7 linked regions of the Xenopus tropicalis genome follow. The protein of the gene in region 4 binds, or shares a complex with, the protein of the main gene of each other region. Links are inferred from orthologs where the notes say so. Each region holds a gene or a part of one and is shown on either strand. Other genes may lie near its edges.

Region 1 (3,995 bases), on a different chromosome or scaffold from region 4:
TATTAAAAACACAATTAACCAAGTGTTTAAATTACAACTTGAATATATATCGGTAAATATTGCCCTTTTACATCCTTTCCCTTGAGCCACCATTTAGTGATGGGCTGTGTGCCCCCTCAGATAATGCAGCTCTAACTGTAACAGGAAGTAGTGTGGGAGCAAAAGGCAGAACTTTGTTCATTAATTGGCTGATGTGGCCTAGCATGTACGTGTGCACCGTCAATCTTATGATCCCAGGGGGTGGCCCTTAACTCTTAAAATAGCTATTTCCTATTTAGGAGTACCCAATAGCACATACTACTAAAAAAGTATATTTTTATGAAAAAGGTTTATTTAGATGAAGCAGGGTTATATGAGCTGGTTTATGCAATATATTTTTAGAGAGACCTACATTGTTTGGGGGTATTGTTTTCCTTTAAGAGAATCCTTATTTCAAATGCCATTGGTGTGCACTGCACACAACAGACAAAATATGTTCATGTCAAGTCCTATTTATTGACACATTTATACATACACTGGGAAGTCACCCTCTTTTAATGTGGAGCTCTGCAATAAAAGTGTTTACTTAATATACACATTATACACATACCTGACCATCTACCAGTGCAGTCAGGGGGAGGTAGTCAAAAAGGTCAGTGAAATACTTCCAGACATTTGCATTTCCATATTTCCTTAAGCATTCATCATAAAATCCATATACTTGTGTGATTTGTCTACTTTCATGATTTCCTCGGAGGATTGTGATGCGTTCCCGATAGCGAACCTGAAAGGTATGAATAGGTTTTTGCAATAAAATGGAAACAGAGACTTCTATCATTTATTATACACAAGTACCCCCAGTACAAGTTATTTATAAACCCTAAATTCATAACCTCATATCAACATTGGCAATCTATCCAGCTAAGTGGCAGATAAGATTCAGTTGTTCATATCCCCCTGAAATAATGCTACATCCCGGATGAAACTAACTTGCATAATGCATACATTGCGTACAGCGCCCTCCCTCAAATTCATTAACGAACAAATTTGTTAAATGAACAAATTTAACAGTGGACCCATTACTAAACCCTGCAGGATCCCATTAAGAACCCTTCTCTAAGTAGAGAATGTACCATTGAAAACCAACAGACAGAAAATGTAATTCGAAAAACTTTGAAAATACAAATTAAATGCAAGATGTCTATGGTGTAAAAGTTGTAAATGTAATTGTTACAGAAAGCGATCTTACTATTCTCTGCCCTGCTGGTTTTGGCTTTTGAAACAATGTAGCAAAGCTAGTTCATTAACAGAAGCAGCATGCAAGGTTTACTTTCTGTACATTGTTTTAAGAGACAGAAACAACAGTGCAGCAAGTCGCAGAAAAATGCTGCTTTTGACAGCAAAAAACTACAAAAAAATATTTTTCTAAACCCCCTCCATTCTACAAATGAGCCTTCTGGCTTTACGGTACAAATGAATATTTAATAACAACTAGAAGAAATATTTATGGCTTTTTAAATAGAACAGACTGGATTATTTATAGCACTACAGCATCATAATGAAATACATATTTTTCATTTATCTATCTGCACATCATATAGGCTGCCCACTTTTTTTTAATGTTTATTGGTGTTACAATAACATGCTTATACATTAGGAGACTTTAAAAGCTTTTTGGATAATATTTGAATTGTATTCATATGTATCATTTTTTTCCCTTCAACATACGATGGCCTTCTATATATATTATATTAGCATTTTTTATTGCTTGTGCTTTTTCTGCTACAAGTTCTTGTTAGGGGACTCTTTAGAACAGTTTTATTTTATTGATACACTGATAGCGCTCTATATTTCGTCTTTTCTACTGTACGTGAATGGCTACTGTCAACTGATTTATCTGGTGTAGTAGGTATAAAAAAAACATTAATATACATACAGGACAGAAAAAAAACACATATCCTCAAGCTCTACTAAGCATTGCCCTATCAACTTGTTGCATAGATTACTGGTTGTTTTTTGTATGTAATCTGTATGTATGTATACACATTTATTGTACAGCACTGTGGCATATTTTGGCATTTTATTATAAGAATACCTTATAATATTGTATTGTTTCATTGATTGCCAGTGGAGCACCATTAATATAAATGAATTATCTTACCTTAAGTGCAACAAGCAGCGTTACAGTTTCAACAGAGTAATATCCTCTGTCAACATAGTCTCCCATAAACAAATAATTTGTATCTGGTGATTTGCCTCCAATTCTGAACAGTTCCATAAGATCGTGAAATTGTCCGTGTACATCTCCACATACTGTGACTGGGCACCGAACTTCCTGGACATTTGATTCTTTTGTTAAGATTTCTTTTGCCTGTAAAATAAACACATTTGCTGTTAACTGCTGTAAACGAGTCATTTGTGATATTAAATCGAGACCTTAATATGCCCTTACATGTGAAGATTTAAGCTGCCAATTCGACTACTTTAGACAGAGTTGGGTTTGAAATCTCCACTTGTTTTGTGCTTTTGGTAGAGGTATGGGACCAGTTATCCAGAATCCTTGGGACCTGGGGTTTTCTGGACAAGGGATATTTCAGTAATTTGGATCAGCATAGCTTAGTCTACCAAGAAATAATTTAAACATTAAATAAACCCAATAGGATTGTTGCGCCTACAGTAAGGTACTGTTTTTTAATTCATTAAAATGGAGTCTATGGGAGCCTTTCAGAAGACTTTCTGTATACAGTTATGTGTTCATATATTCAATGTTTGATTTTCCCATATCTCATATTTTGTGACAGAAGTGGAAAAAATTATAGCAGACTGATAAGTTTCCTGCAAAGTTTAAAGGGGAAGAGAAAAAAAAAAGTTCTAAAAATTGGTTGGTATTTAATGTAAATCAGTTGTAAAATGTTGGTTTCTCCACAAAGGGTCAAAGAGCTAAACACAGAAATTTTAAGGCAGGGACAGTTTTAGTCCTATACTGTAGGGAACTTGAAAATATCTGGGGGCACTGTCAACTGAACAGTAACCCACTGTAAGCAGTGATTAGCACTGATGGGTTCCCATGGGCTACTACCCAGATGCAAATTGCCCAGTGTTTCAGTTAATGACCCCAAAATCTCATTACTGAGGCTAATGGATATTCAACCTGAACCCCAAAGGATCAAGTATCAACTAGAATGCCAGTTTACTATCAAAAGCCAAAGTGGATTTTTTACATTTAGGAATTTGTCACACGGGACTAAGTAATTTACCTAATATCTTTATATGCTGCCTGGTATATATTAAGGCAAGTGGAATTCTCATTTTAGGCTAATGTCACGCAAGGCTCTAGTGCCATTCTCTGTAACCAACTTATACTGTGCATTACATTGTGAGTGATTGACTTATTCTGATCATCTTCATATTGGTGTTCATTAATTATTAGCCAGTCCAGTCTTAATGTTATTGCTTGTTTTTCTTTTTAGGTCCTCTATTATTCATTTTTTATTTTTATTTCAAAACTGATCCCACACAAGGGTATTTTTTAGAAAATAAGCTCTTTTAAACATGGCCCTCTCTCTTTCTTGCATTGCCTATTTGTTTGCTTTTGTATATTACTTTGTATGTTTAATGCATACACCCATTTATTGTACAGCACTGTTGAATACGTTGCTGCTTTATAAATTTGGCAAAGAAGTACCCCTGGGAGACAGAAGAAGATGGCGATATAATGAACCCTGGGCCTTTGCAAATTTCAGTGAACAGGAGCACCAATCAAGTAGGCAATTATACTCATTGGGAGCACCCCTTAGTGATTATACTGTTCCTTTTACATCTGCTGTTTGCATTAAAGGTTTGCTATTGTGATCTCTTTCATATTTCCCTTCCAGTCTGGTTCCAAACTAGAAAGCTACAAAACAGTTCAAAACAAAACCCAACTGCAAACTGTACAAATTATAAAATATATAAACAGTTAACTTGGAGGTGACTTGTCAGTTTATTTATAGCTGCTGCCAGTCTGAGAAGGCTGG
Region 2 (3,341 bases), on a different chromosome or scaffold from region 4:
GGTTAAAGGGCATCCATCACCCCAACATTATTTCCCCCACCAGAGATGCAGAGTAATAGAGCCCGCACTCCGGTTAGAGTATTTTTAAAAAAATACCCCCTGCCAGTACTAGGCCGCCTGCATCAGGAGGGAGCTTCCGGTGGGAATGGCCATATTGTTTGGCACACACGTGCATAATGAGCGAATCTATGCTTGCTCGCATGTGCCTGACATAGAAAGCGGTGGATTTAACTCGCCCTGCTACATCATACCCGTGCCATGCGCATAATGATCGAGTTGTGGCACTCATTATGTGCACGCGTGTGTCACAGCATGGCTACCTGCACCGGGAGTTTTGTGTGTTCCAGTCATTTATAAAAAGTACATGCAAATAGTTTTTCAAGCTTAAATCTGCCCATGTATGGCCCCCTTAACTCAGCAACTCTGTACACATTTTTCAGATGTAAAAGATGAGTGTTTAAAGGTCTGTAATAGAGCAGCAGTCTGTTTCTGTTCTTTGCCCACCAGCTAAGGGAACAGCGCAGTGCTGGAGCATTTGGTTCAGTGCAGGAGCTGGAAAATGCCTTTAGCCTGGCCGAGGAGTCGAGCCCTGGAATCACAGATCAGCTGATCTCTCACCTGGTGCAGCGAGTGCAGAGGTAACAATCTTCCTTCTGCTCAGTACTGCCTAGGAACCATTCTATCCTGTACCATGCTGCTCTCCACCGGTTGGGGCTTCCCAGTGTCGGGACTGGGACCCCAGGGGCCCACCAGAAAACCTTATACCATGGGCCCATGCTCCAAACTGTTTTTCCTCCTTTCCTCACTCAACCACTTTATTCTCCAAGTCTCTTTTATTTACATGATAGCATCTATTCTGTCATCTATTTCTCCTCTTTGTTACCATTCAGAAATAGGGAATGACCATGAAGTAAATGCCAAAAAAAAAGGCCAAATGGTTAGAAACAACAGGGCCCACAGACCCCTGGGCCCACCGAGAGTTTTCCTGGTATCCTGGTGGGCCAGTCCAACACTGGGGCTTCCACGAAGAATAATCCTAACGTCCCACGGGAAAATGTGTTGCCCGTGAGAACTAATCTCCCCAAAAATCCCTTCCACCAGCAATAAAGGGAATTGCTGGAGGAAAGGCATAAACATTGATTTTTTTTCCAAAGTTGTGCAAAGTTGCCTGCAGTAGGAAACTCAACATGACTTCACAAAAACGAAGTGATGCATAGGCCTTTTCAGCAGCAATTCCCTTTATTGCCAGTGGAAGGGCTTTTCGGTGAGATTAGTCGCCTGCGGCAGCAGACATTTATTGTGGGCGACTAATCTTCCCGTCGGGCATTAGCCTTAGCAAGGGAACACCTCCTCTTCGTTAATAGGGTACTACAGTATATAACTGACTGATACTCAGATATGTCTTCCTGTTCATCAAAGCTTAACTATGGAGAAGGGGTAAGGGCAGGTATAGATATAATTCCCTACTGTGGAGCTGCCGAAAAAAAGTAACTGCATAATAAAGACACAACAAAGCTGTCATTACATTACAAAGTATCAGAGGCTCTTGGCTGCTGCCAGAGGGTGGTGCTGATCTCTGACAGACTGGGGTTATAGCTATACGAACACAGCACCATCTACAGGATATGCACAAGAGACAATAGCACTGACAACTGCCACAGGCAGATCCCAAATCCTAGGAAGGTGCTCCAACTAATGAAAACTTCACGAAAAGCTGAAAGAAAAGTAGAAGTTTATATAAGCACACTACATTCTCCCCATTATGGAGAAAAGGGTTATTCAGTTTATTAAGTGCAGTTTCATTGCAAATTATTCTGCATTAAAAATTAAGGGGGACCCCCCCTAAAAGTACCATTTAGTCAAATATTAAAGTTCCAGTATATAGGATATGGCCCTGTGACTACTGCATGTTTTACATGTCTCCCCCCCTTTACATATGCACATGTTGTTAATATTCTATTTATAGTGGAGAATAAATTGTAATGAATTTGCACCTAATAAATTGATCTCTATCTTTTCTACATCATTTGGAGACTTTTTGTGCTCATCTAAACCTCCCCTTTTCTTTCACTTTTTCATGTATGCACAAGACAAAAGTAACAGCCCTGACACTTTAGAGAACACAGAAGAGTTGCTGCCGTCGTATAATGCAGGTTTCTTTTACCAAATGCAAAAGGTAGGGAGTAAGTTCACTAGGAACCCTCTTCTACTATTAGTTCAGAATTTACACTTTCTGTTTAGTAGCCACATCTGTGATTTTGGTTTTGCAGTCGTTTGAATATTTCATGTTCCATCAGTGCAGTTTTTTGAGTTCTTTGTCCATTCTCTTGTTTTATAGGTTCTCCACCGCACCATGAATTCATGCACCCAGCCAACAGATACATCTCTGCATTTCCCATGGCACCATGGGGCTGTACTGTGAATGATCAGACAAATCATGCCATAACATATGAAAGAATTTATTCATTATTTTTCTGAAAAGATTTCTCATGAGCCAGTGTTATATACAAATAAACTGACATTTCATACAGATTTTTTGGGAGACATGATTTTTTCTAGTTTCCTTAATTATAAAGTGACCACTTTGAATTAGCTGAAATACAAATAATTTAGAGAACTGAAGCCTAAAAACAAATGTGGGTAGAAGTACTGGATTTTTGTAGACTAAATGTACTAAACCAGCTTGAAGTTTCAGAATCTCTATAGTAGTATTGAGTTTTGAGTCTTCAAAGTTGCGCACAGGGGGTTCACCATCTTGGATTTTGTTAGAATTGTCAGTAACACTCATGCTCAGTGGGCTCTGGGCAGCTGCAGAGAAGCTCAGCTTAGGGGCTGTTGCAAATCATCACATGTCATAGAAGCGGATTATTACATTTTGATGCAAAATACACTGGTTTCTGTGCTCTCATGTAATGAGAATCTGAATTTATTAATAAGCCTTGTATTGTGACTTTTATATTGTGTGTATATATATATATTGTAAGTGGGTCCCTAAGCTCAGGTAAGTGCCAGCAGCACAGAGCATATGCAGGGAATCGGCAGAACAGAAGATGGGGAGCTACTGGGGCATCTTTGGGGGCACGGATCTGGTAGAGAAGCACAAAGCATAATGTTCAACATTTCTACCCTTCTTCTTTGTTAAGCTTTAGTTCTCCTTTAACAATAACTAAATGTGAAACTCTCCCTAAACAAAAGCTGGTATGCTGATCTCCAGAAACATTTGACAAAATTTGGGAACCCTGGCTGCACAAAAGAACAGAATTAGAAATCAATTTAACTGTGCTTGGTGCCTTGTCTGTCCAATCACCCCAGGCTCCTCTCCTCCTTCCTCTTCTTCTCTC
Region 3 (3,995 bases), on a different chromosome or scaffold from region 4:
AGCTCTCAACTATTGCTTTGGCCCTGGGGGTAGAGAGAACACGCAGCGAGCTTCTTCCATTCCTAACCGGTAAGTCATACGCTGAGGATTTGCTGGACTGAATAGAGAAACCTGTTTCACAAAGTTAAAAGAAAAGCTGTGGTATGAAATAAGGAATACTTCCTGTATTGCTAAATTCAGTTTTTGCTGGGCAGCAACCAGACAGAACAGCAAGAGCGCTTCTCTTACACATGCATTATATTAGCAGTGCACAATTGCAGGTATGGGACCTGTTATCCAGAATGCTGGGGACCTGGGGCTTTCCGAATAAAGGATCTTTCCGTAGTTTGGATCTCCTAAAGTCTCCTAGTCTGCTAAAAATCATTGCAGTATTGAATAAACCCAATAAGATTGTTTTTGCCTCCAATAAGGATTAATTATATCTTATTGGGATCAAGTACAGGTGCTGTTTTATTATTACAGAGAAAAGGGAATAATTTAACCATTAAATAAACCCAATAGGACTGTTCTGCCCCCAATAAGGGGTAATTATATCTTAGTTGGGATCAAGTACAGGTACTGTTTTATTATTACAGAGAAAAGGGAATAATTTAACCATTAAATAAACCCAATAGGACTGTTCTGCCCCCAATAAGGGGTAATTATATCTTAGTTGGGATCAAGTACAGGTACTGTTTTATTATTACAGAGAAAAGGGAATCATTTAACCATTAAATAAACCCAATAGGGCTGTTCTGCCCCAATAAGGGGTAATTATATCTTAGTTGGGATCAAGTACAGGTACTGTTTTATTATTACAGAGAAAAGGGAATCATTTAACCATGAAATAAACCCAATAGGGCTGTTCTGCCCCAATAAGGGGTAATTATATCTTTGTTGGGATCAAGTACAGGTACTGTTTTATTATTACAGAGAAAAGGGAATCATTTAACCATGAAATAAACCCAATAGGGCTGTTCTGCCCCAATAAGGGGTAATTATATCTTTGTTGGGATCAAGTACAGGTAATGTTTTATTATTACAGAGAAAAGGGAAACCATTTTGAAAAAGTAGAATTATTTGGTTATAATGGAGTCTATGGGAGACAGCCTTTCTGTAATTCGTAACTTTCTGGATAGCGGGTTTCCGTATAAAGGATCCCATACCTGTACTAATATAATGAAAACAAAAAAAAAAAAAGAAAATAACGGCAAAAATGCTCAGAAGTGTTGGTATATGTCTCCTTTAATCCTCATGATTGACCTTCCATTTTTTTTTAGACACCATATATGATGAAGATGAAGTTCTTCTTGCTTTGGCTGAGCAGCTGGGGACCTTTACTTCACTGGTGGGGGGACCAGAATTTGTACACTGCTTGCTGGTGAGTATTTATTAGACTCCAATACAAATAGACTCTTCCCCAGTAATTATATAATTAGAATATTATAATTCTGTTTAAAGTGGCTGTTTGTGTTCATAATAATGTTTTCAAAAAGTATAAAATATATTTACTCCAGTAATTGAAAATAGGGGCAACTTGCTTTTTATTTATTTTTTGACCATTTTCTGTCCGAGTGTTTACGTTTTAAAAATCTTAGCAAGCCAAGTTGTTGGCTGTCTAAACTGAGGGGCTACCTACACACATAACAAGATTATAAATATAGGAAACTATAGGCATATCAACCATTCAGCTAAAGCTTTAAAGGAGAAGGAAAGTAATTTTGGCATTTTACTGCCAATAGATTTGCCACATTAGTGCCACCTAGAGCGCTATATTTATTCTGTAGAAACCGTTACCATACTTGAGTAAACAGCTTTAGACACTTTCTCCATTTGCTTAAGATAGCAGCTGCCCTTTTAAGTAGCTTCCTGCCTGCAGTCTAGCTGTTATAGCTGAGATCACACATTCCTGAGGGAGTTCTTATCATTCTGGTGGGAGGGGGAGCAGGAGAGAACTCTGGTCACCTTAATTAAGGCTGTTTCTGAGAGAGGAAGTCAGACAGTGGAACATCATTTTTACCAAAAAAAAGAGACCAGAAATCCTGTGTTTCTTTTGATAGAGGACTCAGTGCAGTGTTTCTGTGAGTGCTTATGGCTGTATTTACATAGTCCTTACTGATAAAGCTTACTGAGTATTTACCTTTTCTTCTCTTTTAAGAATAAGGAAATATGTTTTACTGTTTTTACTCTAATATACCTTCAGGCTGGTCTTTTCGCTGTATTTAGGTGAGCAAATGGGCAAATCTCACGTTAATTAGTATGGAGACTATTTCCCTCCCCCTTGGGGTCCAGCCTGGGAACCACTGATTTAGATGGTTGGGGACCTGATTTAGATGGTTGGAACAAAAAAACTATTTGTTTTTTAACTTTAAAAAGGTTTTGCAAAGGTACTGACCCTTTAAACATTTGATTAAAAAATTGGTGAACAGGAATAGCGCTGGATTTATCTACTGAGTTATCTATCATTTTCTAACCATCTCTCATTTTGCCTTGAAAAGCCGCCATTGGAGAGCCTGGCAACAGTCGAGGAGACCGTAGTAAGAGACAAAGCCGTTGAATCCCTCCGTGCCATTTCTCACGAGCATTCACCTTCTGACCTTGAAGCTCACTTTGTGCCACTGGTAAAGCGCCTGGCTAGTGGAGACTGGTTCACCTCCCGCACATCTGCCTGTGGCCTCTTCAGCGTTTGCTATCCACGTGTCTCCAGCACTGTAAAGGCCGAACTTAGACAGTGAGTACCACCAGATTGTGGCCTTACTTAAATATCATACAGTTATCCAATAAGCAGTGTCCTATACATGTATTATTATAATGCATAACATTACTAAACACATGACTAAAGACGATTATAACTATTATACTATATATCTCCCTGCTCTCTACAATGGGTAATATTTACCCATACACAAATGTATCGCACATTCTTTCTCATTGTAGTGAGGGTGAGGTTCTACTACTGAGTACTCCAGCAGCCAAAGGGTTATACCCCTTTTTATGGCCTGCTGGGACATTCTCCTTTCACCCTCATTACCTTATGTATGAGGTGGGACCAAATCATTAATGACCCCCTGTGGTTGTTGGTTTTAGGCCCATTTTCTGTAATATAATATTAGTACAGTGCCAGTACCCAATATTATAGTGAAAATAGGGGTATGCAGTGACCCATATGTGGGTGATAAGGATGATACCAAACATGAGGTGGTAATCCCTCCTAAATGGTGGGAATAAGCTGTCCCTGTTTGGTATCATTAGGAATTGTGTGACCGCCACACAACCAATATATATGATTTATGAGGAGGTGAACCCTATATATGAGGTGAAATGGATCCTTGTCTTTTTCCATAAATGCTCCCCCCTGCAGCCCTAGGTTCACAGCTCCTTCCTTTGATCCACAGTTCAAAAGAAGTGACTGGCTCAACTTCTTTGCCCAAATGGTGTCACTCCGAATTGTCTCCAAATTCAGATATGAATATCATGTTTGCATAGCCCTCCTGTGAAAGTGTCTAAAGGGACTCTTTGCAGACCTAATACCAAATGTTTCCAGTGTTAACCCTTTACAATGCCAGAGCAATACTACTCTGCAATGACCAATATTTTAGTGAAAGCTGACAAATATATTATTCATTATTGCTAACAAAATTAGGGGGAATAATGCGAGTACTATAATCTTTACCTACTATAATCTCTTCAGTCCTTTTAATGAAAACAGTTTTATTAAACGTTGCAATAAAACAGCACATTTTCATTATATAAAAAATGCGCACATTCTTTTTCTCTATAGGCACTTCCGAAACTTGTGCTCAGACGATACTCCCATGGTGAGAAGAGCCGCTGCTTCCAAGTTGGGGGAGTTTGCTAAAGTTTTGGAGTTGGAAAATGTGAAGAGTGAAATAATTCCCATGTTTTCCAACCTAGCATCTGATGAGCAGGTAAACTGATTGCAGGTCTTGCCACATATATTCTACGAGAATGTCCTGAATTAGAACATGTATATGTGTGTATATATATATATATAA
Region 4 (4,573 bases):
TGCATCAGCCAAAAGCAAGCAGCATTGCAGTTATATTTGTACTAATTTTTGCATATTGTGAGAGAACCAACTATGCACACTTATGTTGGAAAGTAGGAAAGTAAAAGGATGGTAAAAAAAATTATAAGTTGAGTAATATTTTTATTGTACTTAGTGTAGATGACCAAGATGAAGCCCTACAATTTACCTGAAAGTTCTGCTGCCCACTTGTCAGAATCAGCATATATAAACTCTAGGTCCGGAGACTCCGAATAGCCCTAAAATGAACAGAAGTGCCATAAAAAAATAAACAAAAAAAGAAACCCAGTGCAACAATTTTAAATTTATTTTATCATTCAAGTTGGCAACAAACAGCTAAAACACTTTATGGCATATTTATGTTTTCTGTCTGCACACATAAAAATAATTACAAAAGGCATGTAAATAGTATCACCAACAAATGGTCATCTTTGATGTATACTGTAGAACAATAAATCATCAACATGAAGACTGCGGTCTTGGAAATATGATAGTTCACAGGAGAGACTGGGAGATGGACCAGTCAAATTGTTCTATCATTATCAGATTGTTAGATTATACCCAAACAGTCAAACTAACAACAATTTTCAGACCTTCCCTTTAAATCAAATAACTAATATCTGTGGTAAGAGGATGTCTTATCTGATCATTCTTTGGACACAAAAGCCCAGAAAGTCATAAAAAAAAACCTTTTATCCAAAAACATTGGAAGGCTAACGGCTCTGGCACACGGGGAGATTAGTCACCCGCGACAAATCTCCCTGTTCGCGGGCGACTAATCTCCCAGAAATGCCATCCCACCGGCAAAAATGTAAAAAAAATGTGAGTTTCCTCTCAAGGCAACTTCCGCGATTTCAGTGAAAGCGCGCCGCCGCTTATGCCATCCCACCGGCGATTTACATTTTCAGGGAGATTTGTTGCGGGCGACTAATCTCCCCGTGTGCCAGAGCCCTAAGGGTGAAGACACACAAGGCGATTAGTCGGCATAAGTCTTTAAAAAGTCGCTGCGATTTCTCTACGCAGCGAAAACCTGTGTGCTATTAGTCGCAGCAACATATACAGGATCCTTTGAAGGGAAAGTCGCTGCGACCATTCGCCCTAATGGCACATGGAATGTTTTTTTTCCCCATTGCTGTAGATACACCAGCAGAGAAAAGCTGATCTGCTGCCTTCTGCCCCCTCTGTGTGCACTTCTAGGCAAGGGATATACCTGTTCACTCACAGAGAGCAAATACAAATACCTATTATTGCATTTCCACGCTGAATTATGTGTGGACAGCTTTCAATGCACTTGCAACTAGTCACAGAATATGACTGCACTCTTGGAAAGAAAAAAAAAATTATAACTTCGAAAGATATCAATTCTTTCTCATAAGACTGATGCAAACAAAACCATATTTCTTAGTAGTCTGGGAGATTTAAATGTAATCAGTTTTGAGACCTAACTTTATTCATAGATGTTCAGACACTGTACGTGTTACACCTTTTTTCCTCAAAGGCTAATTTGCTTAGGTAATATTTTCAGTAGCTCTTTTACTTAACAGGGAAAACAATGAAACTGAAAGTGATTTCATTTTGCAACCTGGTTCTTTAGAGTAACCGTGGAATAGGGTCACATTATAGCATAACACATTACGAGAGCAATTGTAAACCCCAGGTGATGAAGCAGTAAACACAGACCAATAAAAAAAAAAAAATCTCACTAGTAAAAGCAAGGCCATGCTAGGAGATCTTTTGCTCATTGAAATATTTTCATGAGTACCCAGGGCCCTCTACCCTCAGACTAACTTTCAGGCATTTTCTGTGAAACCATGTGACAGAGTGGTACATTTTTATACTATTTTCTTAAGTCTGAATCATGTTTACAGCCCAAAGAATTCTCTCCTCAGTTACTTTTACAATATGCACAGCTGCTCCCAAATACCATTTGTTTGTTCCACCCTGAGAAAGGTGCAAGTGGTGAAATCTTAGCTTTGCATTAAATTCAACTTTTTGAATAATACATGGGCATGATATTTCCAGGAACACTTTAGGGCTCATTTACGTCCACGAGTGCAATAGTGGTCCCCAGTTTCCCCCCAACCAGCTGCACCTAGCACCACTTTTATGTTCTCCTTCCTACCTTCCGTTCCAAATTGAGAGCTGCTGCACCAGGGGAAGCCTGGAGCTGCCACACACTTGCTGCACCTAAAGAATCAGGTACAGACCAAACAGTAGAACTGACGCCAGCTGGATTTTGGCGCAATTGCATCCAATTTTGGGTACACAGTTGCAAATCAGATACAACTGCAATAGACAGAGCAATTGTGCCAGGCGTATCACTCCACTGAGAACCACAATGACTCAAATTCTGGGGGAAAAAGCAACATTTTTTCAAAAACCTGCAGCAATTACGCTCAAAACTGCACTTTTCTCACTACATTTGCAGAGGTACATGTGCCTTTCTGTCACAGCATCTTCCTGCAGAACAGGAATATAATGTGTGATTCTAAATGAAATGCTCAACTTTCAGGATGACGGAGATTTAATTAAATATTTTTGATAACTATAGGTTATATTAACATGACAGCAACCACGAAGAACTATAATATATATTTTTGGTGAACAGTAAAACTAAGACAAGTCAGCAGTTTAGAATAGTTCGCAAAACTGATGTGAGATTCCTTTTGGAATGGGCTTTTTAATCAGGTAAGAACTGTCTTGTCTTCCTGTCACAGGTTCCCCAGACATACCCCGGTCACTAAGTAAGCATAAAAGCTGGCACACAGTTACATTACAAGGGTAATTCGAGGATAACTGAGTACTAATCAAACACAAATGTTAATGCAATATAGTTATACATAACAACCACTTTTACTCATACCTCTGAATCCTTGCGCTGTGTACGGTTGTACTCTCGTCCCTTGCCCGGTTGGGGGCTGCCAATTACCGCACCACCGATTCCTGTTCTCATTTTGTTGTTGACAATCAGAGAACCGGAAGCCTCCATCTTTCTCAGGCGACGCCCACGTGACGTGACACCGCCGTCTCAGTAGAACATTTGCGGTGGAACGCAAAGCCCAAGGCGTGTCTGTTTCTGCTTTCCAAACATCGCGATAGTATGAAGAGTCTCGCCCTTTCTTTGACAAACTGGGCGGCTTATAGAGACTGATGTATCGGCACCAGTGTGATAATCAGTGTTTTGTATATTCCTGTCTACATAACATGTATTTTATTGCTGAGACCTGCATTTATCTATATATCTAACCATGTATTCTCTGCAGTTACAGCGATGTTTGAAAGCCGGCTACCCTTAAAGGAAACGTTAACTCTAAATACATTCATGTAAAATTGGGCTTCTTGCCACTTTTATTAGGTATTCATAGATTTTAAGCTGGTAAACGTTTTTACACAGCTAATGCGTCTAAATTGAAATAATAGCACCATCTGCTGGTCAGTTCTATCAACCAAACTACAGTCAGAAAATTTCAGTAGAAGAAACTCTTGTAACGTTGTCAGAGTGCTTATACAATTGAGCAAAAGGAAGTGTCCAGATCTAGGGTATGAGCGCTGCAAATTGTGCACCTGATGTTTCTAAAAAGTAAAATTGTAAAATGAGGCAACACACATTAGCTATCCATAGATAAGTGAAATGCACAATTTACATTTTTAAGTTATCTAAATGGCCCCTGATAATGGGCAATCATTATTGGAGTACACGTACATCAGCAGTCAGGTGTCCTGAGATGAAAAGGCATGATTCCAGGTTCTTAAAAGGGATGGGGCTTGTGGATGAGTGGGCAAGGTTTTGTTGGAGTTTTGTCTTAAATTAAGCTTAGAGACAGGTTAGAACACACTGTATAGGAGGGGCAATTTTTGTTTCGTTGAGGCCCTATTTTACTTGAGACAGGGCTTACCATTCAGGGGGCCTAGGTGTCCATCAGACTATTAATTGGGACCCCCTGGTGAAGGTGGAGATCCCTGCTAATTTAGTAGGATGGGGCCATAGAACATACACCCTAGTTTGTAATTACAGTGATGAGAAAAAGTATTTGCTGCTCCATTGTTTTACCTGGTACTGCATATTTGCAAAGCGAGTTGTTTCCGAGTTTAAATGTAATATTACACAAGGGAAACTGAGCAAACACAAAGAACAGATTATATATATATATATATATATATATACACACTTAGGGCCGCTTGAGAAATCATGAAGCCCCCCACAACAAAATTTTCTGGGCCCCCCTCTTCTCATGTGCCCGCCCCCAGTGACCCCTCCCATCAGTACAAAGGACACACATACATTGTTAGCATTGCTGGCCAGGGCCCCCTAAAACATTGATTTACAAGTACATTAGAGGGGATTATAGGCAGATGGGGGATGTTCTTTTTTCCCATAAAAACAATCAATGCACCAGAGGTCACCCCTTTAGATTAGAGATTATTTATAGTTTATGTATGTGAGTGTATAGATTGGTAGGTGTGGGTTAGGTGTGCTGGGTTTACTTGGATGGGTTGAACTTGATGGACACTGGTCTTTTTTCAACCCTATGTAACTATTGATAGCCAGGGACCC
Region 5 (4,574 bases), about 49 Mb from region 4:
GGGAATTCCAGAACTTCACAGCTCTCACAGTAAAAAATCCTTTCCAAATATTTAAATGGAACCTCCCTTCTTCTAAACGGAGTGGGTGCCCTTGTGTCCGTTGGAAGGACCTACTGGTAAATAAAGCATTAGAAAGGTTATTATATGATCCCCTTATATATTTATACATAGTTATCATGTCACCTCTTAAGCGCCTCTTCTCCAGTGTAAACAGACCCAACTTGGCCAGTCTTTCTTCATAACTGAGACTTTCCATACCCTTTACCAGCTTAGTTGCCCTTCTCTGGACCCTCTCTAACTCAACAATGTCCCGTTTGAGCACTGGAGACCAAAACTGAACAGCATATTCTAGATGGGGCCTTACCAGCGCTCTGTAAAGGGGAAGAATAACCCCCTCCTCCCGTGAATCTATACCCCTTTTAATACAGCTCAAAACCTTGTTTGCCCTTGCAGCTGCTGCCTGGCATTGCTTGCTACAGCCAAGTTTATTATCTACAAGGACTCCAAGGCCCTTCCCATTATGGATTTGCCTAGTGCAGTCCCATTAAGGGTATACAGGGCTTGCATATTTTTACATCCCAGGTGCATGACCTTACATTTATCCACATTAAATCTCATCTGCCACTTAGCTGCCCAGATTGCCAGTTGGTCAAGATCCTGCTGCAGGGATGTCACATCCTGGATAGAATTGACTGGTCTGCAGAGTTTTGTGTCATCTGCAAACACTGATACATTACTCATAATACCCTCCCCTAAGTCATTTATGAACAAATTAAACAAAAGTGGACCCAGTACAGAACCCTGAGGGACCCCACTGAGAACCTTACTCCAAGTAGAGAATGTACCATTAACAACCACCCTCTGTACCCGATCCTGTAGCCAGTTTTCTATCAATGTACAAACAACATTACTAAGACCAATAGACCTTAGCTTAGAAAGCAGTCGTTTGTGGGGAACGGTAAAGTGGAGGCAAGTTTGTGCTGCACTTGCTGGTTTTCCCCTTCTGATACCTGTAGCCTTGTCAGTACTAATACAGGGGTATATTGTGCCTGATTACTCTCCCACACTAGATAGGCATGAACTAAACGCACCCTAAGTGCAGTAGCGCCTCCTGCTATACAGGCACCCAGGGGTGGCAGCTGTGTCTCACCCAGGGGCAGGGGGAAAGCTCCCAAGGGAGAGAAGCAGATGAGTCCGATTAAAGTGACATGCCATTGCCCTGGCGAGAGTGAGGGCGCAGGAGGAGCTGTGTGAGGGGAAGAGACAGGAGGAGGAGGAGGAGGGTAGATGGGTGGTTATTGCTCTTCTTGTTTCCTGCTCTAGTTTTCTGTACGAGAGAGGAAACCGTGGTGACATCGCCTTGTATCTACTGCAGCCTCAAACTTGCTTCTCCCCATTTCGTGTGATCATTGGCCTCAGCCGCCGCCGGAAATCCTCCTCTCCAGCACAATAATAAAGCCAATCTCTTCCTGCTCCCCAGCTCTGCCCCCGGCTGCTCCTCCTCCTCCTGGGCCCGGACTCGTAGGCAGAGGGAAGCCCGGGGGACCGGGGAACACTCCTCGGTATCGCAGTGGATGTAAGGGCCGGGGTTGTGCTGCCGGCACATCAGTATGAGTCACTCCCCGGTGCAGCCCGGCCTGCCTGGGATACAGGTGAGCTCTGCCGCGTCCTACCTTCGCCTTTAGCTTGGCTTTCGACCCCTTCTGGTATATATTAGTCTGTCTGCGGCCCTTCAGCAGTTGAACTACAACTCCCAGAAACTTGGCTTGCATAGAATGCTGGGGAATGGAGGCTGGATAGTGTGAGTAGTTAGTACAGCTGCTGGGGGGCCGCAGGTTGGACATCTGAGTGCAGGTATTGATGCTCCAGGCTACAGATCAGGCTAGAAATCAAGGCATTTGGGACCTTATTCCATTGAGTCTGCATATTGAGGTGCATGGTTTGCCCGGAAACCTTTAACTCATCATACGGGAAACATTACTGTTATTGGCCACAGTCCTAGCACATCTGTGGGAGCAAATACGAGTTCACCTTGCTGCCCCCCCCAAAATGATCTTCAGCTGGCATTTATTGTGGGAGTTTTAATCAGATTAATCAGATCAGCCCATTTTAGTGGCTAAATCCATTTATACATCTGGTTCATTTATATGTAATTGCTCATAGTGACATGTGTAATGGTGCTGGGTGTCCCTTACACTGTGACTTTCTGTTACACACCTACATTGCTTTCCCATCTACTACAGCTGTGTTGAGTAAAGAATCCAGATCCAATAATTCTTTACACACTGAGTAAAGCAACTGACATAAACATAAAACTGTGACATAAACATGCTTTTTGTTTATTAACAATGGAAACTTTTTAGGCCTGTGCCACTGTTTGACATTTCTGTAAGTAAAGTGCTGGTGTGGCTAAGGGGAATGGGGAACAGTGACTAAGTATGTGAGAGGCCGCAATTAAGTTTAATTTTTATTCTTAAATTGAATTTTTGTTTCTATAGCTCCCCAACTTGCCAGTTAAACCACTACTTTGACAGTGACCATGTGCTCAATATCAGTTTTCTAGTTTGAAAGGGTTACTAAATCTCAATTTAAAATTGACAGGTTAAATAAAATAAATGTAGTGTATAAATAATATTAATAATAATAATAAGGAATAAGAGTCTCCGAAAAGTAGTTTAGATTCTATCTGCCTGTAACATAATCCTTAGGTTAAAGGCCTTGGACTTCTTAGATTAAGTTGCTTTATAAAGCCCTGCATGAGATAAGCTCTTATTAGTGCCTAACAGGATAAGAAATACATATTGGCATCTATTTAGAGGTGCTTTCTGCATTATGTTTTCCCATAACCCTTTTCTGCTGTTTGTCACCATTTGCCTTGAAATAAACTCAAGCAGCTTTGTAAAACGACTGTCCCATATTGATGGGTAGCAGTGCAGTTACATACTAAGGTCCAGATCAAATTGTAAAATGTTGTTCTTTTACAAAGGGGTCTGTGTTGCTCTTGTGACTTAGGGCCATAAAAATCAATTTGAAGACATCATGCAGCCAACTGATTAACTTCTAGGGTGGGGACGCTTTTCTGCACCTCTGTCCCACATAGGAAGAGATACCTTGTACATTACTCGCACTCATTACTGCAGTAGAAAAACTGGTCATTGAAACCAACTAGTTTTACAGGTCCCTGGCCTTTGTGCTGCAGTGCAACTTGTACCTCACTGATTACAGCTCATTTACAATTTTGGCAGATTATCTACAGTGTGATTCATTCACAAGCATTTTGGGTGTATTCTTGTCCATTGTAATTTGCCACTTTGATTTTTACCATCCCCTTAGGGTGTGGCACTTTACCAGCCGTACTTCTGGTGGCATCTTTGTCAGCCTAAATGTTTGTTATGGTAGAATTTTAACTGGTCAGACAATGCTTTTATTAGCATTGTATATAGCTCTTAGTCTCCCCGCCCCACCAAGAGAGAACTGTTCCCGGCTCACAGTAGTTCAGGGGGCTCAAATGGTAATCAACCATGTCCATGTAAGCATGTCCAAAATACATGCACTTTTGACTGGGTTTACTGAGAACAGGCACTGGAACAACTGCAGAATGCTGACCAGAGCTTCACCTTAATATGGGGTTATAGGGCTGTCATGGAACGTTTCCAATCTAGAAACATGCATTCCCATAAACAGCATGACTACATTGCAGGACTCTTTAATTTACTCATTCTTTATTCATAGAGCTCCAGCATTTTCCTCTGAACACTTGCTTATTTGCCAACAGGAAATAATCATAGTAAAATATAGTGAAGCGTTGCTGCCTGGTTTGTTTATTTTCCTTTGGTTTGTAATGCAAGGCACCTTCTTAGACTTGCAAACTAGATCCTGTAAAACTTATGCCTGTGGCCTCTTTGGTCAAGCTGGTGGTCATAAAAACAATCATGTAGAGCAGTGATCCCCAACCAGTGGTTCATGAGCAACATGTTGCTCACCAAACCCTTGGATGTTGCTCTCAGTGGCCTCAAAGCAGGTGCTTATTTTTGGATTTCTGGTTAGGAGGCAAGTTTGATTGCATAAAAACCCAATGTAATTGCCAAACAGAGCCTTCTATAGGCTTCCATTCAACATAGGGGCTATTAAGTAGCCAATTATAGCTCTTATTGGCACCTTCAGGAACTTTTTTCATGCTTGTGTTGCTCCCCAACACTTTTATCATTTGAATGTGGCTCACGGGTATAAAAGGTTGGGGATCCCTGATGTAGAGTAAGTTGAAAAGGCCTGTAAGGCCTTCTGTTATAGTGAACTTTGTGCGTGTGTTTTTTAAATATACTGTATATCTACTAGTACCATAGGCCTTTAAAGGAAAACTATACCCCCAAAATGAATACTTAACCAACAGATAATTTATATTATGTTGTGACCTATTAAATAATTTTGCCAAACTGGAATATATATCCGTAAATATTGCCCTTTTACATCCTTTCCCTTGATCCACCATTTAGTGATGGACTGTGTGCTCCCTCAGAGATCACATGACCAGAAATAATGCTGCTCTAACAGTAACAAGAAGTGTGGGAGCAAAA
Region 6 (4,763 bases), on a different chromosome or scaffold from region 4:
TAAGAATAGGCCACACTATAACATACTAAAAGTTGACCTGAAGGTGAACCACCCCTTTAATGTGGTATTAAGAAAGTGTGTTACCAGGGCAGTGAAACCAAGACTACACAAAGTTGTTGTAGCTGGAAAATATTATGCAGACAGTGCTAGTTATTTTTAATGAATTAGTCACTAAGAAAATCCATATTTATTCATGTATATATGAAGATATCAATATCAATGAAAATAAATATATTTTCAGTGTTTTGTATTTTATTCTCAGTGTTATACACAAGCCTGATTTATCATTGTGTACATTCCCCTAACACCACTAACCAAGGAGCAATCAGGCACACCTATATATCTGTATAAATGCCAACATATTTTATAAAGTTTCACAAGTTTCACTTGTTGTTGAGGAATGAAACGGTAGAAAACTTCAACATGGAATTGTGGGACAATAAATAACTAACAAGTATTCTGATTTAATTATAGGCACAGGTCTCGAGAACAGGTCAAGTATAAAGAAAGTTAACAAGTGCACATACATTAGATACCTGAATGGGTCTATTCAGATAGATCCACACATGACCTGCATTTTTCCCCACTCTGACAAGCTACCAAACCCACAACCCTGTCTGCTACCTGCTGCCCACTCTAAAACACAGAAGCCATGTAATCAAAAAATCAAAGGTTGCATCATCAGAAAATACAGAAGGCTGGAGAGAAGCTATTTTGAAAGAAGCTGAGCAAGTTGCCATACACAACCCAAACCCCAATGTACCTACATAATTTGAACCAGCAGGACTCTTAACATACTTAACACAGAAAGGCCTTCACGTTATTGTGAATTAGTTATAAATAAAACAGAGATTAAAACAACAGAGATATATTGGGCCCCTAAACTTCCCAAAATATATGCATGTGGTAGAGTAAGCCCCACTTGTGCAAGGACAAATTAAAATGATAAACAGGATCTCAAAAGAATGCACAACATGTTTATGCTATATAAAGAATAATATTACTAAAGATCATTAAGTTTATGTAAACTATTAACCTCACTTTAAACTTTGGTTAAGGGCCAAAAGCTTCTTGATGCCCATGCTTTTTTAAAGCGTATATTTTAATTCCAAATATACAAACATGGCACCTAACTCAAGATTCTGTACTTAAATTGTCTTCATTACAATATTGTTCTTGGAAGTAATGTAAAATGCATATAAGAACATTGCTTGAACACACCTGTAAACCTAACAGCAATTCCAACATTGATGTATGAAGTGGGTACTATGAGTAACATGTTTATCCTCAGTAAAAGGGGTTGAGAACTTGATAATGGATCAGTTCAAGCTCATCACTGCAAAATATTAAATTTAGAATACTGACAATGATAAAAGATGACAATACAACTTAGGGTCATACATTTCGTACTGCTAAAGTGCCACACCACAAGCACCAAGAAGCCCACTGAGTGACTGTATAACTGGTTTATTTACACTCAGGGGTATAGATTTTGGAGTGTTTGGTGGGATGACCTGTGTGCCACATAGATTGGGCTTTTCTCTTTTTTGTTAGTACAGTATACATTAATAAATATAGCATTTATTGCATACAAGCAATACTGGCATACCCATAGTATTTAGTCAAGTGCCTTAGATGTCTTACATTACAGAATGAGGAAGACACCCTGACCATATTGATAAATGCATTCTGGCCAAGCCATGGATATGATACAGGTATAGGACCCGTTATCCAGAATGCTCAGACCAAGGGTATTCTGGATAAGGGGTCTTTCCGTAATTTGGATCTCCATACCTTAAGTCTACTAAAAAGTCAATAAAACATTAAACTCAATAGGATTGTTTTGCATCCAATAAGGATTATTTATTTCTTAGTTGGAATCAATTACAAGGTACTATTTTATTACTACAGAAAAAAAGGAAATCAGTTCTAAAATTCTGCATTATTTGATTAAAATGGAGTCTATGGGAGACGTGCTTTCTGTAATTTGAAGCTTTCTGAATAATGGGTTTCCGGATAAGGGATCCCATACCTGTACTTTTAAACGCGGGTAAGAACTAGCACTCAAAGCAAACACATTTCATAAATGATGCTGGGCAACTTGCGGGCAGCATATAACAGCCCTGGTTTAGCATAGGTGTGTTACTGTACAGTAATATTTACAGTATTGTGTATAAGCTCTCAGTGTATGCCCGTTTCAGACAGTGTCTAGACCCATGCAAACAGGAGTGAACTGATGACGTCTGTGCTTGGCTTGGGGTTCTTCTATCGTCTCTTTGAAATGTCAGTTCCATATACAGGTGCAAAACACAATCTATTCAGCAGATTTGCCTGAATCTGACACAGGGGTTGAGCGGTCAATGTTAGTCGCAAGGGTCACACAGGCGACATCCCTGATCTTATCTAATGACGTAGCAGGCGAGTTCCATGTATTAGTAAAGTGCAGAATTTCTGGGACGGTGTGGGAACCTTTACTCGGCTGGCCAATAACTACAGCAATCCAAGGTAGCAGACATTACCTCTTTGTATGTGTCAGGATGTAGAAAAGCCAAGCCGGCCCATACTATAGACACAGAACCTACCCTGGTCTAAGGTTCGATTCTTTATGGTACTGGCACTCAGCCTCTCAGTTCCGGATATACAGTGCCAATGTTATACACACAGCCCCCGACTGTGCCTAAGCTTCAAGTTCAGATTCTCCCAGCCCTAGCCCTTCTACTTGTGCCTAGGCTATAACTACAGGTATTGCCAACCCCTTGAGAACTGGCAGTGCCCAGGCTTTCCTAAAGATCCTGCTTAGGTACGACTTAGGTATCGTAAGATCCTGCGGGAAAGACTTTGCCCCATAGAAACGGGCAAGAGGTTTGCCGGCTAATAAAGCCACAGAGAAATCTCATTCGCAGCTCTAGTATGCTCTGCGTGGCAGCTCACCTGCATCCCTGGGACTTGCACGGCTACCGGGGAGTGAGCCATGGCGGGCGGCGTCAAGGCCTCCTACTCCGACTTGGCGGTGGGGTGCGAGCGGGGATTGCTGCTGCCCGCTGCTGCTCAAACACTGCTCTGGCTATCCGTGGCTATCCGTCTGCAGCCTGACACTGTGACCATTTCTCGGTGAAGGTCCAAGTACTGAAAGCCTGGGTAGAAGCTCAGCAAGCTCGGGGCGCCATATTGGGAGAGGACTGAAGGCTGCAGCTGAAGCCACGCAGGGTGGAGCCGCAGTCTGACTGAAGCCGGTCACGTGGGGTTGTGGTGATGTCAGGCGGCCCCGCCCCAAGCGATCATTGAGCGCTAGTATGTGAAAAGGTGACTAGGAAGATGTCATGCTACCTGGGCAGGGCTGGGAAGCTTTGCATAACGAGGCAAATCCGTCGCAGACTTTCCATTTTGTTATGTCAGTCATGCAGGGTGACTCTTACAATATCTCTGTCTGACTGAATCTGCTTTAATTTGGTATTGAACTGATTCTTCCAGAACCCTCAATGCCTCAATGGGGCTCTGCTCCTATACTAGGACTAAACTATCCTACTTAATAGGTGACCTTGGCTCTTCTCAAAGTAGGATAAATAGCCGTGCTTGTGAGAAAGTGTTCTGTAGGCTACAGCCTCCTAATATTACAAAGTTTTACTTTCTCATTATGAAGAAAGGTGGCGCGAATGTGTTATAGAAGACTCCACTTTTTACAATAACTGTTCTAAAAAGTGCAGAATTACTCTAGGTATCACACTTTTACAGTTATTGAATAAGAAGACTTAAGTAAAGCTTGTGGAGCATGTTCTGTAGAGGCTTAAAGGAGAAGGAAAGTCATTTTGGCATTTTACTGCCAACAGATTCACCACATTAGTGCCACCTAGAACACTATATTTATTCTGCAGAAAGCATTACCATACCTGAGTAATCAGCCCTAGAAGCTCCCTCTGTTTTCTTATGATTGCAGCTAATATACAGTTATCTGTTTACCAGCTAAAAATATACTAGAAGATCAATCTAATTTTTGGGCCACAATATATTCAGTATGTCAACAAATTCCCCTAGTGGCATGTTACTGCTGTAAAGACTGGCACAAACATTTTGCTACATTCTGTTCACATTTGCTTTTCCTTCCTGCATATTTTACACTACTGCTTTACTTGAATAGCCTCTTCATGTGTGATGGTGGTGGGACCCCTACCCATGATATCAGTCTGGATGTACACACTAAATACCAACTAACAAAGATTATAGAGATAGTAGAGAAAAGGGTTATGAGGAATGAGCCACTACATAATAGTACCATTGAAGCATGAAAGGTTTTTTTGTGTGTCTCTCTGTATACAGAAGTATGTTGTAGTTGACAAATGTCCAGCATCTGTGTTTAGTTGTGTTGTGTTGAATACCCCAACATACTGTTCTTCGACTTTGGCTTATTCTTCCGCTTCTTCTTGTTATTCTTAGCGCCCCCCCCATTTTCTAAACGCTACTCCTCCTACAGTTTTAGGGGTACAACACCCAAACTCGCTACACATCTGCGCCCTATAGCGGAGCAGGTTGCTTGTGCTTTTCTAAGCAATCCCGCCCCCCGTCTTTATGTGGCGCCGCTCCAATTTTTCCATTGACTTTGACAGGGAAGATTTTCAAACTGCTGCCGCACTTATAGCTTTGAAGCTATACCCCCCAAACTTGAATAACATAATCATGGGGTCACCCTGAATGAAACAGCAACATTTGTTGGATGATCCAAAGTGGGAGGGGCCAACAACAGCCAATCAAATTTCAACAGCCAATCA
Region 7 (4,751 bases), on a different chromosome or scaffold from region 4:
AGGGGACTTTGGCTACAAATATTTTCATGACACAACTCTTTACTAATGCTGATATGTTCCTATGCATTTTCATAGGAACACGTTGGTATCGCTTTAAGCATTTAAACCAGCACCTTACCTCAGATTCATCGATTCCAACGACAATGAAGAGAGATGCATATTGCCTGTACACCAGCTTAAAGTCTTTGTACTCTATGAAGGAACACTGATGGGAAGAGAAGAATTAGGATAAGAAGTATTATTTCTCTACTAGGAGAGAGAACATAAGAAAATCCAAAGATTAAAAGATCAAGAGAAGTTTTACTGGGGTTGATCATTGCTATTGCTCCAATTGTGAGGGTCTTAATAAATGTATAAAGTAAAATCTGCCATTAACTGCCAAGGAGTAGCAAAGAGGCACAATGGTAATATTTACACAGGGGTATTAACAATAAAGCAGCCTGGGCCCCATCCAGCTAAAAATGTAAACAAACAGTGTGTGTTGATTACATACCTTTGGGCTAGGCCTGATATTTTGCCTCACTCCATAAGGCAATATCAACATCTACCCAGAGTGTGTGCATAAGGGAAAATAAGGGTAGGCTCCATCTAAACAGATAAAAGGGGAGGTAAGGAGGCAGGGATTGTCACTATCCTACAACCTCCATAACGCAGTATTCACCTGATCCTTGGAACGTGACAGACACAATTTGATGACGTCAGATTCCAGCAGTGTCCGTCTCTGGACTTCCATGCGTTCATAGTATCTTGACAACCTGGTCTGTCCCTGCTTGTTCACAATGAGGAAGAACTTGATCATCTCTACAGACGAGCTGCTATCCAGAGCTGGAAAGGATGTATATAAAACATCAGGTTAGATGTCCTAATGTACAATGCAGGCTATAGATGCTTATAGCGGCAACAAAGGGTGTCTCTTGTGTCATGGTTTAAGGTCCTTGCTTGTTGATGGAGCAAGAGGATTTAGCACTATCTTGAACTGAAATGTACCAAACACCAGCATAAAGGTGTAAGGTGGAAATAGGAGCTCACTTATTATCAGCCTGAAACTACAGGGATCTGGTGGGATACAGATAGGGGGATTTCTGATTGGCTGCAACTTGCAGCTTACTGACCACATTTCTAAATGAGAATATTTAGAAATAAGACCAGTGTTGGACTGGGGTACCTCCGGCCAGCCACAATACCTGAACTCAAGAGCCCCCCTGCCTGTGAATGGGAAGTGGCCATGGTGACCAAGGGCCACACTGACATTTATCTGCAGGGCCAGTGAGGAGACTAAGGGCATTCTTTCTGCCCCATCCCTTTACCACTTTTTAGTCCCTACTGTCTGAACACTCTCAGGCCAGCACCAACAAGCTGCCGGTATCCCAAGCCTCAAGTCATACTATTGCAACGTATTTATACTGGCATGAAACTCACATGGAGCCTAGGGAATAGCGGGCTGCAGGCTATGGGAGAGAACAATGGCACAGGCAAGGATAGGCAGAAGCTGCTTACTGAATTCACTGTAGATACGAGGTGGCCATTGCTACTGTATGCATACTGTATGTAGTGTGTGCACAGTGAATCTAATTGGCTCCCCATTTGCTAAACCCTCCTCAGGCTGATAAAACACGTTTCTATTTAGATCACGGCTCCAGGGGCCGGCGAATAAAATCTCTCAGCCACTCAACGAAACCTGAAAGCGACGGCCGGTTACCCGTTCAAGGCGGGAGCATCCCATCAGTGGAGCGGCCGGCTAACCAACAATGATTTCCGGTAGCATTCGGCTGTCACCATTCCATGCGGAACTACGTCACTACTAGCCCTCTGGGCGGGGCGGGGATCACGTGACGCATATTGCCTTTGTGACGTCAGTCCGCTAGGCCCGCGCATGCGCCTTGACGCTGTCAGCGGGAGGCGGTGTGTGAGGCCGGTGTTTCCCAGAGTGCCCCGCGGAGCTTACCGGACCCCGGGGGGGAAGTGACAGATAACAAATGGGCAATATCAGGAGTGCGCTTGTGCGCAACTTATAGACGGGACGGCGGCGGGCTCCCCTCCGGGGGGGCGAGAGTTACCGGCCGCTCCATCTCACTGCTTCTCTCCTGACTGGCACCGGGGAGCTATTTGCCCCCTAACGGGACGCGTCACTTGTAGCGGAGTCCTTGCGAGAGGGTTGGTAGCGGCGGGATGGAGGATCTCCCGGCGGCCGGAGGAATGGCCGCGTCTCCGAGGTTGCAGGCCGTGGGTCCGGCCCAGTCCCAGGGAGCCCCATCTGAGCCTGGCTGTGAGCTAGCCAGCCGCCCCCCTCAGTACACTATCCCCGGGATCCTGCACTACATCCAACACGAGTGGGCCCGCTTCGAGATGGAGAGAGCGCACTGGGAGGTGGAGAAGGCCGAGCTGCAGGTGAGGGGTCCGGGGAACAATAGGGAGAGACGGGGGGCCCCACCGGGATGGCAGTGTGGCGCCCCCTACAGACTCGCACCCGTCTCTGGCCTTTCCTCATTCCCAGCTGAACTACATCTCCCCGCACCCCCGGCACACTCCGGCTGTGTATGAGCTGCGGGGAGTCCGGCACAGGTGCCCAGGGGGAATGCAGTGACAGGAAGCGGGGCCTTGCTCGGTTACTTTCAGGTCGCCATTTTGGCAGGCTCGCTTTTAGGGTAGGGCAGAGAGGGCATTTGCTCTGGACCCCCAGTATCTCATGGCTCCCTTGTGGGGAAGAATTGCAAGTGTGTAACAGTTGTCAGATATTGTCCCTATACAGATCAGGGGGGCAATCTGTTGCCCTCTAGCTGGGTTTTAGCGTCCCACCCACCACTGACCAGGGGTTGCTGGGAATTGTAGTTCTGCAGCGTTCATAGGGCCCAGGTGGGACAACCCTCCCACATATTGAGAGCCCAACCTTCTTGCAATGCCATGGAACCTTTCTTTTTATCTATATAGGGGCCTACGTGGCCGACATTCTGCTCCCATTAGCAGCCTCCCCCTGGGGAAGGCCTGTCTCTCCTCTCCAGCTCAGGACAGAGCAGTGACAGTGGGTAACTGGACTGTAATGACTGGGCCAAGTGACTGCCCTGTTGCTCCTGTCATTCCCAGGGCCGGCACCTAGTGATCTTGTCTGCAGGCATTCATTTGCCTCACTTCAGCTGCCCAGGTCATGCTGACCCCAGTGGGCTTGCAGGGTGACAGATAGGATTGTAAGCTGTATTAGACTTATTCCCCAAATCTCAAAGTAGCAGAGCTACACCACAGTGAGTGAGGATAGCCTATATGTGGGCTAGTGCCCAGTCTGAGCCAGGCAGATTGTTCTACATAGGTCTTTAAACTTATAAAGTGTTCCATTGGTTGCACAGGTCCATCCTGTTCTAAGATCCTATTGTATTCACAGGTAATGAAAATGCCCGTCCTTTATTTTCAAGTGCAACTTTACTTTAATCCACACATTGTTTGATCTAATCCTATGCATTCTTGTCTATTCTGCCCATACCTTTTATAAACCCTATATTAAACATGTTATAATTAAGTGCAGTGAATAAAAACTCTATTCACATTTTAACTACTGACTTAGGTAGGTATGTGTAATTGTGAAGGCCATGTATGAGCTTTTGTTTCTATCCCAGTGCTAGTACGCTGGAATTGATTGGTGGTGGTGCTCCTTTTATTATGTTGGCTAACTGTGTGTGTATGTGAATAACTGTCCTGAAACTGGGGTATTCACTAAGATGTTTGTGATACTATATCAATCAAGAATAGCTTAATTGTTGCTTAATTTTCAGTGGCTGACAATGAATAGCCTAATCAGGATACAGTGGAACCCCGATTTTACATGTCCCAGTGGATGGTGTCAAAATGGTATAAAATCTGGGGGGGAACAAGACGCCACTTGCTTGTATGGGAAAACTGAAAAACTATCAATAATGGGAAAATGTTAAATCCAGGTACATAAAATCAGGGGTTCTATTGTAATATGGCATGTTTGTCTTTGTTAATACTGATTAGTTCTATTTCTATATCCCTAGAAAGCAAGGCACATGGTGAGGGTTGGCAGGCTCTACATGTAGCCAGTGTCACATTTAGGAGAATTGGGAGAATTTTTATAAATCTAGAACTGCAACCTTCTATAAGCAGGTGATGTATCTGCCTTGCTCACAAGGCTCTGAGGTTCTCTGACTTTGGCTAGTATTGATTAGTTGTGTTTCGCTCGGCATTTGCCCAGTTTGTATGACTTTGTGTTCCCTTTGTGCAGAATATTGCTGCTATTTGAGTTCCTTTGGATGTTACAAAGATACATTAGCAAAAGGCGGCGCTTCTGATCAAGCCGTTAGCAATTCTAGTCCTGACTTCCATGCTGCCATTGCAATCAGATTACTAGTTACTTTGTATCTAAACTTCTGTAAAACTCAAAGAAACAGTTATGATCCTTCCCATTTGGCAGTAAAGTGTAAGTGTCCAACAGGGTGTCCATGTGCTGGGAATCAGCAGCAGTGTGTTACACTTAGCCTTTATGACACCATATGCTATAACCTTATCCAGGGCAGTCACAATAGAGAGAGAAGACCCAACAGCTGCTGGAAACCCAGGAGGCTTTCAGCTACTCAACTTGTACAAACCTTTTCATTCACCAGTTCTTTCCCAAATTTAACTCTGTTAGTAAGAAAGGTCTAAAAAGTTTGTGCTGTTAGGCCCATTTTACACTTACTAGTCATTTGGGCTTTCATTTTCCTGATAGACAGTTGATAAGGTGAAAATGGTTATTCAGAAATCTT

The links.
Region 1: the proteins of strip1 (region 4) and ppp2ca are in contact, whole or in part, in a cryo-EM structure (PDB 7K36), measured with the Homo sapiens proteins. The link is inferred for Xenopus tropicalis from reciprocal best matches to the Homo sapiens genes STRIP1 and PPP2CA. Residues at the interface, in NP_149079.2 of Homo sapiens: Gly421, Leu422, Pro426, Phe436, Lys443, Phe444, Pro460, Arg461, Pro462, Ile463, Glu465, Ser466, Thr469, Leu470, His473, Arg726, Lys730, Met733, Ser737, Tyr740, Gln741, His745, Arg746, Leu747, Asn748, Asp749, Trp751, Ala752, Tyr753; in NP_002706.1 of Homo sapiens: Thr40, Glu42, Ser43, Asn44, Ser171, Pro172, Ser173, Ile174, Asp175, Thr176, Asp178, His179, Arg181, Ala182, Leu183, Asp184, Arg185, Leu186, Gln187, Glu192, Gly193, Pro194, Gly208, Trp209, Gly210, Ile211, Tyr218, Ile224, Thr227, Phe228.
Region 2: strip1 (region 4) and stk25 share a complex: the UniProt entries of both Homo sapiens proteins name them as parts of the core of STRIPAK complex. The link is inferred for Xenopus tropicalis from reciprocal best matches to the Homo sapiens genes STRIP1 and STK25.
Region 3: strip1 (region 4) and ppp2r1a share a complex: the UniProt entries of both Homo sapiens proteins name them as parts of the core of STRIPAK complex. The link is inferred for Xenopus tropicalis from reciprocal best matches to the Homo sapiens genes STRIP1 and PPP2R1A.
Region 5: strip1 (region 4) and stk24 share a complex: the UniProt entries of both Homo sapiens proteins name them as parts of the core of STRIPAK complex. The link is inferred for Xenopus tropicalis from reciprocal best matches to the Homo sapiens genes STRIP1 and STK24.
Region 6: strip1 (region 4) and stk26 share a complex: the UniProt entries of both Homo sapiens proteins name them as parts of the core of STRIPAK complex. The link is inferred for Xenopus tropicalis from reciprocal best matches to the Homo sapiens genes STRIP1 and STK26.
Region 7: the proteins of strip1 (region 4) and strn3 are in contact, whole or in part, in a cryo-EM structure (PDB 7K36), measured with the Homo sapiens proteins. The link is inferred for Xenopus tropicalis from reciprocal best matches to the Homo sapiens genes STRIP1 and STRN3. Residues at the interface, in NP_149079.2 of Homo sapiens: Arg441, Ile445, Tyr447, Leu449, Thr455, Val456, Val457, Gly458, Leu459, Arg491, Ser492, Pro493, Leu494, Ser495, Phe792, Leu793, Pro794, Val795, Asn797, Cys798, Leu799, Val802; in NP_001077362.1 of Homo sapiens: Thr64, Pro66, Gly67, Leu69, His70, Tyr71, Gln73, His74, Val88, Glu89, Ala91, Glu92, Ala95, Arg96, Phe99, Leu100, Glu103, Gly106, Gln107, Leu110, Asp113, Leu114.

Annotation. Positions count from the first base shown.
Region 1 is NC_030679.2:26,547,397-26,551,391, reverse strand, and holds part of ppp2ca (serine/threonine-protein phosphatase 2A catalytic subunit alpha isoform), read right to left. Parts: intron 2,351-3,995; coding exon 2,141-2,350; intron 764-2,140; coding exon 590-763; intron 1-589. UniProt on the Homo sapiens protein: Catalytic subunit of protein phosphatase 2A (PP2A), a serine/threonine phosphatase involved in the regulation of a wide variety of enzymes, signal transduction pathways, and cellular events.
Region 2 is NC_030681.2:125,808,256-125,811,596, forward strand, and holds the end of stk25 (serine/threonine-protein kinase 25), read left to right. Parts: intron 1-507; coding exon 508-638; intron 639-2,090; exon of another isoform or gene 2,091-2,176; intron 2,177-2,338; coding exon 2,339-2,357; 3' UTR 2,358-2,533; downstream 2,534-3,341. UniProt on the Homo sapiens protein: Oxidant stress-activated serine/threonine kinase that may play a role in the response to environmental stress.
Region 3 is NC_030683.2:120,831,166-120,835,160, reverse strand, and holds part of ppp2r1a (serine/threonine-protein phosphatase 2A 65 kDa regulatory subunit A alpha isoform), read left to right. Parts: coding exon 1-69; intron 70-1,259; coding exon 1,260-1,360; intron 1,361-2,477; coding exon 2,478-2,710; intron 2,711-3,760; coding exon 3,761-3,908; intron 3,909-3,995. UniProt on the Homo sapiens protein: The PR65 subunit of protein phosphatase 2A serves as a scaffolding molecule to coordinate the assembly of the catalytic subunit and a variable regulatory B subunit.
Region 4 is NC_030678.2:72,084,700-72,089,272, reverse strand, and holds the start of strip1 (striatin-interacting protein 1), read right to left. Parts: upstream 3,015-4,573; 5' UTR 3,008-3,014; coding exon 2,882-3,007; intron 258-2,881; coding exon 188-257; intron 1-187. UniProt on the Homo sapiens protein: Plays a role in the regulation of cell morphology and cytoskeletal organization. Required in the cortical actin filament dynamics and cell shape. Part of the striatin-interacting phosphatase and kinase (STRIPAK) complexes.
Region 5 is NC_030678.2:121,371,344-121,375,917, forward strand, and holds the start of stk24 (serine/threonine-protein kinase 24), read left to right. Parts: upstream 1-1,484; 5' UTR 1,485-1,610; coding exon 1,611-1,652; intron 1,653-4,574. UniProt on the Homo sapiens protein: Serine/threonine-protein kinase that acts on both serine and threonine residues and promotes apoptosis in response to stress stimuli and caspase activation.
Region 6 is NC_030684.2:67,411,150-67,415,912, reverse strand, and holds the start of stk26 (serine/threonine-protein kinase 26), read right to left. Parts: upstream 3,165-4,763; 5' UTR 2,974-3,164; coding exon 2,932-2,973; intron 1-2,931. UniProt on the Homo sapiens protein: Serine/threonine-protein kinase that acts as a mediator of cell growth. Modulates apoptosis. In association with STK24 negatively regulates Golgi reorientation in polarized cell migration upon RHO activation.
Region 7 is NC_030684.2:113,226,589-113,231,339, reverse strand, and holds the start of strn3 (striatin-3), read left to right. Parts: upstream 1-1,875; 5' UTR 1,876-2,169; coding exon 2,170-2,388; intron 2,389-4,751. Other genes in the region: ap4s1 (AP-4 complex subunit sigma-1), read right to left, coding at 119-205, 662-799. UniProt on the Homo sapiens protein: Calmodulin-binding scaffolding protein which is the center of the striatin-interacting phosphatase and kinase (STRIPAK) complexes.